Linked DNA regions of Oryzias latipes. The protein of the gene in region 1 purifies or fractionates together with the protein of each later gene. This does not show direct contact. Links are inferred from orthologs where the notes say so. Each region holds a gene or a part of one and is shown in the gene's direction. Other genes may lie near its edges.

Evidence for each region. Proteins that work in one complex are often made in the same cells at the same time.
Region 2: the proteins of nfkb1 (region 1) and rnf123 purify together in Homo sapiens (affinity purification with western blotting; 4 studies listed by BioGRID). This does not show direct contact. The link is inferred for Oryzias latipes from reciprocal best matches to the Homo sapiens genes NFKB1 and RNF123.
Region 3: the proteins of nfkb1 (region 1) and nfkbie purify together in Homo sapiens (affinity purification with mass spectrometry; 4 studies listed by BioGRID and IntAct, with this or other methods). This does not show direct contact. The link is inferred for Oryzias latipes from reciprocal best matches to the Homo sapiens genes NFKB1 and NFKBIE.
Region 4: the proteins of nfkb1 (region 1) and ikbkg purify together in Homo sapiens (affinity purification with mass spectrometry; 4 studies listed by BioGRID and IntAct, with this or other methods). This does not show direct contact. The link is inferred for Oryzias latipes from reciprocal best matches to the Homo sapiens genes NFKB1 and IKBKG.

What each region holds. Positions count from the first base shown.
Region 1 is NC_019868.2:30,854,154-30,857,653, forward strand, and holds part of nfkb1 (nuclear factor NF-kappa-B p105 subunit), read left to right. Parts: intron 1-56; coding exon 57-208; intron 209-274; coding exon 275-438; intron 439-783; coding exon 784-942; intron 943-3,500.
Region 2 is NC_019863.2:20,439,249-20,442,748, forward strand, and holds part of rnf123 (E3 ubiquitin-protein ligase RNF123), read left to right. Parts: intron 1-348; coding exon 349-441; intron 442-509; coding exon 510-583; intron 584-667; coding exon 668-785; intron 786-1,747; coding exon 1,748-1,847; intron 1,848-1,954; coding exon 1,955-2,016; intron 2,017-2,166; coding exon 2,167-2,238; intron 2,239-2,314; coding exon 2,315-2,435; intron 2,436-2,984; coding exon 2,985-3,086; intron 3,087-3,500. UniProt on the Homo sapiens protein: Catalytic subunit of the KPC complex that acts as E3 ubiquitin-protein ligase. Promotes the ubiquitination and proteasome-mediated degradation of CDKN1B which is the cyclin-dependent kinase inhibitor at the G0-G1 transition of the cell cycle.
Region 3 is NC_019882.2:5,904,989-5,907,310, reverse strand, and holds part of nfkbie (NF-kappa-B inhibitor epsilon), read left to right. Parts: intron 1-480; coding exon 481-691; intron 692-915; coding exon 916-1,004; intron 1,005-1,563; coding exon 1,564-1,812; intron 1,813-2,322. UniProt on the Homo sapiens protein: Sequesters NF-kappa-B transcription factor complexes in the cytoplasm, thereby inhibiting their activity. Sequestered complexes include NFKB1-RELA (p50-p65) and NFKB1-REL (p50-c-Rel) complexes.
Region 4 is NC_019865.2:4,847,836-4,851,335, reverse strand, and holds part of ikbkg (NF-kappa-B essential modulator), read left to right. Parts: intron 1-996; coding exon 997-1,071; intron 1,072-1,214; coding exon 1,215-1,400; intron 1,401-3,015; coding exon 3,016-3,077; intron 3,078-3,248; coding exon 3,249-3,296; intron 3,297-3,500. UniProt on the Homo sapiens protein: Regulatory subunit of the IKK core complex which phosphorylates inhibitors of NF-kappa-B thus leading to the dissociation of the inhibitor/NF-kappa-B complex and ultimately the degradation of the inhibitor.

The sequences.
Region 1 (3,500 bases):
CTTTTCCTCAGCTCTATTTTTGTCAGACATGACACTTTTAGTGTTCTGTGTTTCAGATCTTCAACTATCAGGGCCAGGCTCGGGTGGTGGTCCAGTTGGTGACGGCGCTGACCTCCAGCCCACAGCTTCACGCTCACAGTCTGGTGGGGAAACAGTGCGATAAAGGAATTTGCATCGCCGACCTGCAGTCCAAAGAAGCCACCATCAGGTGTGCGCCTTATGCCGTCGGCCTGAACGTGTTAAACCAATGACGCTCACGTATGTTTCCTGTTAGTTTTCCTAACCTGGGGATCCTCCATGTGACCAAGAAGAACGTGGCCAAGACTCTTGAGGAGAGAATGATTGAAGCGTTCAGGATGGGCTACAACTGCAGCATCTCCATCCATCCAGAGATCGACGCCGTGCAGGGGGAGGTCCGCGTCCCGCGAGAGCTCAGCGGTCAGTGAAGGTTTCGGGTCTACAGGTCCCACCTTTGATTCTCGTAACCCCTAAACAGAGCTCTTCTGTGAAGTAGCTGAACATTTAGTACAAATGGTGCAACGATGAACTAGATAAAACTGTTAATTAGTAAAAGTAGGTGACAATTAGTCCTGTGGGAAAGCTTAGATACTGCAGCATAAGTTCATTTTGAGCTAGAAGTTTTTGTAATTATGATCCTTGCTTACATGAAAAATTCTAAAAAAAAAAAGGATTTTCTCCTGAAATCTTTGTTGCAGTACGGCAGTAAGGTAAAACTACTCCTGTGATATTGCATTTTCATGGTTCCCATCTGTGTGTCCTCAGACCATCAGCGCTGTGTGATCAGCAGTGCAGCGGCCAGCCAGGCCAAGGAGATGGACCTCAGTGTGGTTCGCCTCATGTTTACGGCGTTCCTCCCCGACAGCGACGGGGGCTTTACCCGACGACTGGAACCTGTGGTGTCCGAGCCGATCTTTGACAGCAGTGAGTTTCAATCCACTCATCCGGAGCGAAGGGAGAGAGCGGGAATCTAACGATGTTTAGGGTCTGCTGGGTAGGGGGGGGGGCAGGGAGGAGCAGCAGGAGCTCCTTCACATGTCAGAATCTGAGGACAAGTTAGAGTCCTGGTTAGTCCTGGTTAGACCTGATTAGTCCTAGTCCTGGTTAGACCTGGTTAGTCCTGGTTAGACCTGGTTAGTCTTGGTTAGACCTGGTTAGTCCTGGTTAGTCCTGGTTAGTCCTGGTTAGACCTGGTTAGACCTGGTTAGTCCTGGTTAGACCTGTTTAGTCCTGGTTAGTCCTGGTTAGACCTGATTAGTCCTAGTCCTGGTTAGACCTGGTTAGTCCTGGTTAGACCTGATTAGTCCTAGTCCTGGTTAGACCTGGTTAGTCCTGGTTAGACCTGGTTAGTCTTGGTTAGACCTGGTTAGTCCTGGTTAGTCCTGGTTAGTCCTGGTTAGACCTGTTTAGTCCTGGTTAGTCCTGATTAGTCCTGGTTAGTCCTGGTTAGTCCTGGTTAGACCTGTTTAGTCCTGGTTAGTCCTGGTTAGACCTGATTAGTCCTAGTCCTGGTTAGACCTGGTTAGTCCTGGTTAGACCTGATTAGTCCTAGTCCTGGTTAGACCTGGTTAGTCCTGGTTAGACCTGGTTAGTCCTGGTTAGACCTGGTTAGTCTTGGTTAGTCCTGGTTAGTGCTGGTTAGACCTGGTTAGACCTGGTTAGTCCTGGTTAGACCTGGTTAGTCTTGGTTAGACCTGGTTAGTCCTGGTTAGACCTGGTTAGTCCTGTTTAGTCCAGGATAGACCTGGTTAGACCTGGTTAGTCCTGGTTAGTCCTGGTTAGTCCTGGTTAGACCTGATTAGTCCTGGTTAGACCTGATTAGTCCTGGTTAGACCTGGTTAGTCCTGGTTAGTCCTGGTTAGACCTGGTTAGTCCTGGTTAGACCTGATTAGTCCTAGTCCTGGTTAGACCTGGTTAGTCCTGGTTAGACCTGGTTAGTCCTGGTTAGACCTGGTTAGTCCTGGTTAGACCTGGTTAGTCCTGGTTAGACCTGGCTAGTCCTGGTTAGACCTGGTTAGTCCTGGTTAGACCTGGTTAGTCCTGGTTAGACCGGTTTAGTCCTGGTTAGTCCTGATTAGTCCTGGTTAGTCCTGGTTAGTCCTGGTTAGACCTGTTTAGTCCTGGTTAGTCCTGGTTAGACCTGATTAGTCCTAGTCCTGGTTAGACCTGGTTAGTCCTGGTTAGACCTGATTAGTCCTAGTCCTGGTTAGTCCTGATTAGTCCTGGTTAGACCTGGTTAGTCCTGGTTAGACCTGGTTAGTCTTGGTTAGACCTGGTTAGTCCTGGTTAGTGCTGTTTAGACCTGGTTAGACCTGGTTATTCCTGGTTAGTCCTGGTTAGACCTGGTTAGTCCTGGTTAGACCTGGTTAGTCTTGGTTAGACCTGGTTAGTCCTGGTTAGACCTGGTTAGTCCTGTTTAGTCCAGGTTAGACCTGGTTAGACCTGGTTAGTCCTGGTTAGACCTGGTTATTCCTGGTTAGTCCTGGTTAGACCTGGTTATTCCTGGTTAGTCCTGGTTAGTCCTGGTTAGACCTGGTTAGTCCTGGTTAGACCTGGCTAGTCCTGGTTAGTGCTGGTTAGACCTGGTTAGACCTGGTTATTCCTGGTTAGTCCTGGTTAGACCTGGTTATTCCTGGTTAGTCCTGGTTAGTCCTGGTTAGACCTGGTTAGTCCTGATTAGTCCTGGTTAGACCTGGTTAGTCCTGGTTAGACCTGGTTAGTCCTGGTTAGACCTGGTTAAACCTGGTTAGTCCTGGTTAGACCTGGTTAGTCCTGGTTAGACCTGGTTAGTCCTGGTTAGACCTGGTTAGTCCTGGTTAGACCTGGTTAGACCTGGTTAGTCCTGGTTAGTCCTGGTTAGACCTGGTTAGACCTGGTTATACCTGGTTAGTCCTGGTTAGTCCTGGTTAGTCTTGGTTTGGTTAGTCCTGGTTTGTCCTGGTTTGTCCTGGTTAGACCTGGTTAGTCCTGGTTAGACCTGGTTAGTCCTGGTTAGACCTGGTTAGTCCTGGTTAGTCCTGGTTAGACCTGGTTAGTCCTGGTTAGACCTGGTTAGTCCTGGTTAGTCCTGGTTAGACCTGGTTAGTCCTGGTTAGACCTGGTTAGTCCTGATTAGTCCTGGTTAGACCTGGTTAGTCCTGGTTAGACCTGGTTAGACCTGGTTAGTCCTGGTTAGACCTGGTTAGTCCTGGTTAGACCTGGTTAGACCTGGTTAGTCCTGGTTTGTCCTGGTTTGACCTGGTTAGTCCTGGTTAGACCTGGTTAGTCCTGGTTAGACCTGGTTAGTCCTGGGTATGGATGGCGCCCCCACATGAACATACGTTTTCAGCATTTCTGCCCAAATCAAAGCGTTTCCTGGAGTGACAGCTACCAGAGTGTGAACCAGGATAACCGAAGGTTTAATCTTCTGATTTTGGAGGAGACAGAACTGCATGCTGGGAAGGGAAGAAGCAGCTTTCTGTAAAGTTCAGCTGGTCCTCAAT
Region 2 (3,500 bases), on another chromosome or scaffold:
TTTACCTGGCATTTGAAGCCCCTGAAACATTTGTTGCACTTCAGAATGATGCCATCTTAGATTTTCTTTAAAAACCCTTTTTTGCTCCCTATTCAAACTCAAATAAGCAACTTTACTGGAGTAAGTTTTTACCTTATTTGGAGCCCCTCTAACCCAATGGGTTTCACCATTTAGTTTCAAGCAAGGTCGCGCTGTTATATAAAAATTGGACAATAGATGGCACTTGTAGTTTACAAGAGATAAAAGTGCAAAAAGCATTTTCTCACAACTGTAGGTCTACACAAAGCAGGCTCTGTTGATGCTTCTTCCTCAGGTTGAAGCTCATCGTGTGTCATTTCTTCTCTGTAGGACCACGAGGTGAACGAATGTCTGAAGCAGCTGATGATGTCTCTGCTGCGCGCGTACCGCTTCTCCCCGATCATCCCGGACCTGGGTTTCCAGGTGAGACTCACCATCTGTCCCGCTCATAATTTGGCACTCACAGGCTGATAACGACTCATCTGTTTCAGATCCACTACCTGCGTTTGACCACGGCCATCCTTCGGCACGAGAAGTCTAGGAAGTATCTGCTCAACAATGTCTTATATCCTTTAGCTGCTGCTCTGCCTCAACTGACACTCAGCCTGAGCCTGTAAAACTCACTGTTGTCCCCTTAACCTACTGCTACGTTTGACGTGCTGCGGTCCGTCGTCTTCTTCTATATCAAGACCCCTCTCAGAGTGAAGGAGGCGGGGCTCGAGGAGCTCATCCCCACCACCTGGTGGCCCACGCATTTTGACAAAGAGGTGAGGCAGAGAAACAACCCTGACAGCAGACATTAGTGAAGCCACCTCTCCTGTTGTCAGATAAAAGACTACTTATCAGCAGACTGAAGCTGCTGCCTCGAGGTTACCTTCATTCACAGGCAGAGGGCTGAAACCATTGACTATATGAGAACTGGACCGAGTGAGTGTGATGTCACCCATAGAAAATGGCTCACTTCCTGCTCCAACCAAATGAAGTCAATGAAATCGCCATCTTTTCGCAATAAGGTCGCCACCAATGTTGGAGCCAGACGATGTCAGTAAGCAGTGATTGGTTCGAGTCGATCTTAGTCAATGCTTCACAACCACTCTAGCCAATCAGGAGTGAGCCTGTTGAAAGTCTATTCCCCTACTATTTAAAAGTGTGTGAATCTGTGTTTCTGTGTTTCGAACATTCAACGTGAGACCATATACTTTAATTGATGCATCTGATTGGTCAGTTCATAACTTCAATAACTTGCAAGAAAGAACAATTTCATGACAAAAATAAGGATTAGTATGAACATGTTAAAAAATATAGCAGATCAAGAAGAAAAATGGTTTATTTCTCAATAGAACCTTATGGGATTTTGGCTTGGAGCCAGCAGGTACTTCCTGTTTGGAACAGGAGGGGGAGGAGTCATACAGTCCAGTTCTCTTATACAGTCAAGGCTGAAGCTCTTTACTGAAGCCTCTGAAACACTTGTCATAAAAAAAGCTTTATTTAAAGAAAACATCAAAGGAGGAAAAGTCACAAGTACAAGCAGAACCCCTCTAAAGGTGCTGTTTTCTAGAAGGTTGAAAATTTGAAAATAAACATTTTATTGTGATAAAACTGTTCAAAAGGATCAGAAGAGGGTTTTCACAACTAAAATGACTTTTCTCTGCTTTTCAGTCCTCAATATGCTGCTTGGTTGGATTATAAAATATGTATTTCTTATAGCGTGATGTGTTCTGCTTTTCAGGGTAAAGACGAGCGCGAACCCAAAGATGAGAGCGCAGACGAGCGGCTGAGGCGGCGAGCTTATGAGAGAGGCTGCCAGAGGCTGAAGAAGAGGATCGAAGGTGCGATCTCAATCTTTTGCTTCACACTGTCAGACTGCAGGCTCAGCTCTTTACTCTGAAGCTTCTTCTTCTGCTGCTGGTCTCATCCCTCCTCTGTTCTCTGTCAGTGGTGGAGGAGCTGCAGATTCAGATTTTGAGGCTGCTGCTCAACAACAAGGACAAAACCACGGTACAAACACTATTTGTGTCTGCATATTCTTTAGGGGCAAATGTTCATTCATGCAGGTTCAGTCCTGCTTCAGCTGCACAGTTGGCATCTTCCTGAACCTTTTAAAATCCTTTACATACCCACAATCCTTTACTTTACTTCATTCTGCAGGGGGAGGCTTCCCGGTACATTTTCCTCAACAAGTTCAGGAAGTTTCTCCAGGAGAACGCCAGCAACAGAGGGGTAAGGACGAGCTGCAGTTTGTGGCTCAGACAACCTTAGAGCGCAATCCTGAGCTTGTGCGTTTGTGTGTGAGCAGCACCCCACTGCGCTGTGTCCCCCCGAGTACATGGTGTGTTTCCTGCATCGCCTCATCACGGCGGTGAGATCCTGCTGGAACGAAGCCTGCAGGAAGTCTCCGAGCAGCCTGAGCAGTGAAGGTAAGCTTCTGCTGTTGGGGTTTTTCTCCGTCGCTGCTACTTTCTGCTGCTCCAGTATCATCGAGAAACAAACAGAAAGATCTTGAGGCACAACCGAGGAAATGAAAGAAAAAATGCAGCATCTTCCTGGGGAGCTGGAGAAGAAAGAGACTGCTGAGTCAGAGCATCTCTGCTTGGTTCTGCTGCTGTCGCCGCTCACGATGCACGATTAGGTTATTGCGATTCAGAATGACCCACACAAGACTCAAATTGTTGATCTGAAGTGTTTCTCTGCCTCACTTCTCTGTTGGATTTCAAAGACACTGCAGACTATTCCCTTTGTTGAGTTAGACACGCAGTTTTTAATTATTCCTGGCTAGTGGTTTTTCTTAATACAGAAGGGAACTGCTGTAATTAAATTTGAAGTCTGATCATTCGGTAAGTGTATGACTCCTGAGGCATTCTCAAAACAACATTCCATATTTATTACTAAGAGCTTGTGACACAGCCGTCTGAATGAATGAACTTTGTGATGTTTCTGATAATCTTTTTTCTTCTCTTCCTCTGCAGATGCTTACGTCCCTCCTCAGCTCTTCTACAATGGAAAGGTGGACTACTTTGACCTCCAGAGACTTGGAGGACTTCTGTCCCACCTGAAGAAGACTCTCAAAGGTTTGCAGTAGAAGTTTTTTAATTCTATTGTGATTTTAGCATTTAGTTAAAACCAGAATCATTAACCTTTTAACACTAGAGTTGTCGTGGCGACACCTCCTTGACCTATCCTAACTTTGTGACCATTCAACGATCAGCATGAATCAGCCGATTGGACGCAGAGAAAAGCAGGTTTTCTCTTCACCTTTGCACCAAAATGCAACACTTATTGAACGTAAAGTGTTGCATAACAGCACAAAGCCGCTCTTTCTAATGTCAGAATGAGCACATTTAAGCTGATTGTGTAACATTCATTCAGCAGTAAGTAACACTAAACTTTACAACTGTAAAGTTTTGCATATCGGTGCAAAGCTGTTTTGTTCTGAGGGTTAAACTTAACTAAAAAGTCAAAGGGATAAACAAACCACAAAAGAC
Region 3 (2,322 bases), on another chromosome or scaffold:
TGCGACATGGTGGGGATGCGGGCACAGGAGTCGTTCCAGTCCTTCAAGAAGCTCGACGAAGGCTTCAGTTGAAGTGACGGACGGAGCTGTCATTTGGAAACATCTGAAGTGTGGAGTCAGCACTTTGTGCACTGACTCAGCTCTCGGTTGCCTCACATTTCCTTTCAGTCATTCTTAGATCTCTCCTTACTAAGAATTTTTCTTTTATTGCTTAAGAATCTTGTAAAGACTCAATGCTTCTCATCATGTGTCTTACGCAAAACTGATATTTAAAAAAAAATAAAAAAAGTAATTACGAAAGGAAAGTAGCAGAGGCGTCACGCTCTGCATCTGCAGCCCGGTCAGAGCAGCCGTTTGCTTCGATAGTTCAACTTTCAGTTTCTCCGATCTGTTTTTTTCCTTTTCACTCTCTCTTCTTGCTTGTGTCTGATTACACGTATGTTTTCGCTGCTTTGTTTGAACCCTGCTGGTGTTCTGCAGAGTCCTCTCCACCTTGCCACCTACCTAAACCTGACAGACGTGGTGAGGGACCTGACAAGGAAAGGGGCCAGCCTGGAGCTGCAGGACCAGGACGGGAACACGGCGCTCCACGTGGCCTGCCAGCACGGGCAGAAGGAGTGCGCCTCGGAGATGACCCAGGACTTTTGTCCCAGCACGCTAGAGCCGGTCCTCAAGATTCAAAACTGGAGAGGTCAGAAGAATGCCCGTCAAAAAAATAGCCTTCGTTCTATCTCAGTTTCTGTATCTAAAAGAAGTTTTTTTTTTTTTGTCTGAAATGCAACATTTTCTGTTGTGTTAACACTTTAGGGTAAAATGTGATACATATGTGATATATATCTATATAGATCTAGATATATATATATATATATATATTTATTTTTCCAAACCTTTAAATAAAGATGATTGTGCTTGCAGGTCTCGCTTGTCTTCACCTGGCTGCACTTAACAGGAAACACCAAATTATGAACCTCCTGGTGAAAAAAGGAGCAGATCTGAACATTCAGGTTAGTCCAACGCCTCCTCTACGGTTCATTTTTATAACACAGCTGATAAAACCAAATGAAATTTACCCCCTCCAAAACCGGACACTATTTTTAGTCTGGAGCTCCATGAAACCAATTCCTGCATAAACGTACAAAAATAATGATGTATTTTCTCAAAAAACAAATAATCTGAGTATATATTTACCACTTTTGTTCCCTTCAAGTGCCGTTTGCAGCATCTTTGGTTCCCGTTTAAAGCGTCCTGCACCTGCGCGACGCTGATATTGACACAGGCTGAGCTTTGGATTTCCCGCAGAATTCATGGAGACATAATTAGATATGAGATATGATTAGGCCGGTCAGCCGGTCTGTCTTAACTTTCTATAGATGGAAGGGAACGCTGCGGTCATTCCCCTAACTACCCCAGACATTCCTCTCTGTTTGAATCACCGTCCCAACATATCAGTCTGCGTCTGCAGCCATGAATCATTTTTGTAATTATCACCCTGCTATTTTGATGCCTGTCAGTGCAGCTCAGTGATCTGGCATAATTATGACATGAACGTCCGTTTTCTTGCAGGAAGGAACGAGTGGCAAAACGGCCCTTCACCTGGCGGTGGAGATGCACGACATCGCATCAGTGAGACTTCTGCTCAACAGGGGGGCCAATGTGGATGCTGCCATGTTTAACGGCTGCACGCCCCTGCATCTGGCAGTGGGGAGGCAAGACATCGCCATCGCCAACCTCCTGTTCCAGGCCGGCGCCGACACGATGCTGCGGAACATGGAGGACGAGACGGCGCTGGATCTGGCTGACGGCAACGATGATGTAAGCAGTTCATTTTCTAACGGGAATGATTTTGTCTAGCTGTTACAAAATTATTGGAACTGCTTCTAAAACTACAGGGGTCCTTCGTTTATCGTGGAAGTTATGTTCCATTAAAGCTGTAAACTCTGCGCCGCACTCTTTGTTCACTTCTCTCAGATAGACATGAACATTTGATCACTTTTCTCTGTTTTTGTTTCTACTCTCAACGTTTGAAACCTAATAGACAAATAGGTCCAGTAATGTAGAATGAAAACAAAGAAGATTTTTTAGAATCTGGCAGCCTAGCTAGTTTTTTTACTTGCCTTTGTTTCAAGAAATGAAGTTATCTTTGAATTAAAAAAAAAGTAATTTTATGGCCAAAAAATATCCAAAGATAATTCAATTAAAATCCAAAATGAATAAATTGATAAAGTTTTATATATATTTTTTTAGGTATTTAAATGGCTGGAAAACTTCTTTGGAGAGATCCAATTGGTGCAGTTTGCAATAAAATCACAAATCTGTGGTTAT
Region 4 (3,500 bases), on another chromosome or scaffold:
AGTTGAAGGACAAAAACAACTTTCTTTAAAAGAAAAAAAAGGATAAAACTGTTTGAATAAATATGTTTGAGCTGAGTAGTGTCCTGCAAATTGACGATAACATCATAAACATAAATATTATTGCTTCACTTGCCAAAAATTCAGGTTTTTGCTGCATAGTGAACTTTGTGTGTTGACAGTCAGTTTTGCTAATTCGGGTTTGTTCCCTCAAAGATCCGTGTTCTCGTTTGGAGCATCTGCCAAAACTTAGGGACCACAGATCCGCAGCAATAAAAAAACCACGAATGGTCTTGCTTTGTCAAGTCATGGAAAGTTGGGATGTTGGGATCCCGAGTCTCTTAGGACAAATCCATTTATGAATCAATTTGGGGTCCGGACTGACTCCTCCTTAACCCCAAATTTCCACCTTTTCTCTAAATGCTTCCAAAAGCCCTGTAGTGCAGCATCTCTCCGCTTGGAGTCGAAGCAATTCATTCAGATGAAAGTCTGCTGGTGTGACCTCCATTACCACCAGCAGGCAGCGTGGTCAGAGCTACAGTTTGGTGCAAAATGTTTGCAGGAGTTCCCCATATTGTCAGTGAATCTGAATGGATTGCAGAAAGCTATCTTGATCATCCTAGTCCAGGATTTCTCCTGGAGTGACCTTAGCTGGATGACTAAAACATGTCCAGATACGTCTGCAGACACCGTTTGGTTTTTGTCTCAGGAATGGAGGCGCTCGTCTGGTTTAGGAAGTAGCTTTACTGACAGAAGTCTCTTCAGGATTAAGCCACAAAGATGACAGTCGACCGTTCACTTGTCTCAGCTCTTTTTGAATTTTTTATGTCGTCTCTGCATCCATGTTTTTCTTTCAATTAAAATTTTATACTGAAGCTTCAACCTTAACTATTAAATGCAGAAGCTTTTATTTTGTAACATCTTACAGATTATAATCTTTAACCAAAATAGTTTATTTCAAAATAAATTCAGTTTTTTTGTTGATTTCTTTCCTCTCAGACTCTTGATCAGTGGGAGAGGAAAAGAGCTGACGAGACCGAACAGCGAACACAAACCACGCCCCCTCGCAGCCTGGTGAGACGGTCTGCGCGCCAGCTTCCTGCTTCTCTGCACACTCCTGTCACTGCATAGACACTTGCCTCCCTGTTCGACAGTTTTGTGGCTCATTGATAGTCTATCTGTGTCTTAGCTTAATGCAGCTGTCTGTTTGTCTGTAGCCGTTAGAGGGAACAAACGACTTCCTGAAGCTGCTGAAGAGCCACAAGGAGCAATTGGAGGAAACGATGAGAGACCTGATGAAGAAGAACGAAAATCTGGAGAGGGAGAAGGAGGAGGGAGAGAAGGAGAGGGATCGGATGCGGCGCTGCATCGACCAGCTGAGATCCAAACTGCTGCACACGCAGGTGATGCAGAGTCCAGAAAAAATCCAGATCTTTCTCTCCTTTTTGCACATTGTGGTTAAAAAACGGCCAGTTTTGGTCTTAATTTGCATCATGGCTGCTATGAATGATCCAACATTCACAGATGCTGTTAAATCTGTTGTGATCAGTTGGTCACTTGGCTACAAAAAAATACGTTTCTGATTGTGGAAAATTTTGAAAACACAAATAAAACGGAGCCTCTTGTTAAGTGAAGCAGAATATCTGACCCATGTTTGAGGAGGAGCTCATGTCCACGAACGCCAGACATCCAATCACGATGGCCTTTTTCCAGGGTCATGTAGACGGGAAAGTCCCATCATGCAATAGTGTTTCCTCGCTATAACGAGGTTCACTGTTTGCAGATTTTATTTCAGTGCAATTTTTGCATGCTTTTTTAAAATGATTTTTTACAGCACATTGTTTTCTGCGTCCTGATTGGCTGTAGACCTTTTGTGAATTGATCTCCTTTGTGCTATGTATCTTGTACAGAATGCATTTAGCTTTTCAGATCTTTGTTTTCATCCTAAAAAATTGGACTCAAGGTTTGAAGGAGTTTAAACAAGAGAGAGAAGTGTGAAAATGTTCATGTCTGTCTGAGAAAAGTGTATAAAGTGTTTAGTGAGGAGCTTTACAGCCTTAAAACATCTCCAATAATTGTACAAAATATGCTTACTTTACAGATTTTACAGATATATTTGTAAAATTTATTTATTCATTCATTCATCTTCTAAACCCGTTTTGTCCCTTTCGGGGTCACGGGGCTGCCGGATTCTATCCCGGCCACGTGTGGGCGAAGGCAGGGGACACCCTGCCCTGGACAGGTCTCCATTCTGTCGCAGGTCAACAATCACACACCCGTGCAGACTCACATTCACACCTTTGGACAATTTAGAGTAACCAAAAAACCTATGAAGCATGTTTTTTGGACGTTAGGAGGAAGTTCCTGGAGAAAACGCACGCATGCACGGGGAGAACATGCAAACACAGAAAGGTCCCCCATTGATGTTCTGTTTCAGTTTCCCCAGCCGGGACTTGAACCTGGGGCCTTCTTGTTGTGAGGCAAGAGCGCCAACCACTGCTCCACCCTGCAGCCCCATTTTTATAATTGGAAATAGTGTATTTCATAGTTTTACATCTGCGTAAACCTTTTGCAGGTTTGTAAACCTAATGCAGGATCCAGATTAGCGTTGCATAAGCACCGTCTCCTCCTGGCAGAGCACAGAGAACAGCATCAACACGTGACCTTTCTGACATGCTACTTTCCGTGTCCACAAAGCTAACGCTACGATCGTCAGCGTCGCTATATTTACAGAATACTCATGAATAGAGATTTTAAAAATTACAAGAAGTTTGGTCATTGCAAACGCAGATTTTCTGATGATCCCATTTCCAATATTTGCAGTTATTGATCACTCCTAGCAGGTATCTGGTTGTTGTGGGATGTTGTCAGTGGTGCTGAGGCAGGCAGATGTTTCACCTGCCTAGAAGGTTACTGACGACAAAACAAGAGTGACAAGAAGAAAACAGAGACTTTCCAACACGTCGCCCGCAGAAATCTGCAGCATTTACCTGACAGAGTCATGTGAATGTTTTTCAGGCCACTTCTGGCACCGAGGAGGTGGTTCAGCTCCGCTCGGAGGCTCAGCACTCGTCTGACTGGTAAGAGCTGCTGGATCTGGTCTCTTCCCGTTTGATCACTAACAGCACTAAACTGATTTTCTGCTGCCAACAAACCTGATTCTGTTTCTGCTCTGACACACACTCACATGCTTCTTTGGATCCACTTGAGATGTGCTCGTCTCCTTTCTCATCTTCTTGTCCCTTTTCCAGCTCTAGCCTGGCTAAGCTCACACAGCAGCTTCAGGCCACGCAGGGCAGGTGAGCCGGCGCCCTGTTTGGCTTTCTCTGTCTCCATATCTGCATGCTGCTCTACTGTCCCTCAACCAAACCTACTTTCCTCTGTTTGCTTGTAAATGAAAATGTTTATAGAATTTAAATTAGGGGAGTGACGATAACCGCATCACCGCACTTTTTTTTTGTTTAAAGTTTTTTACGGTTTATTACGGTTCTCTTTCACTCCGT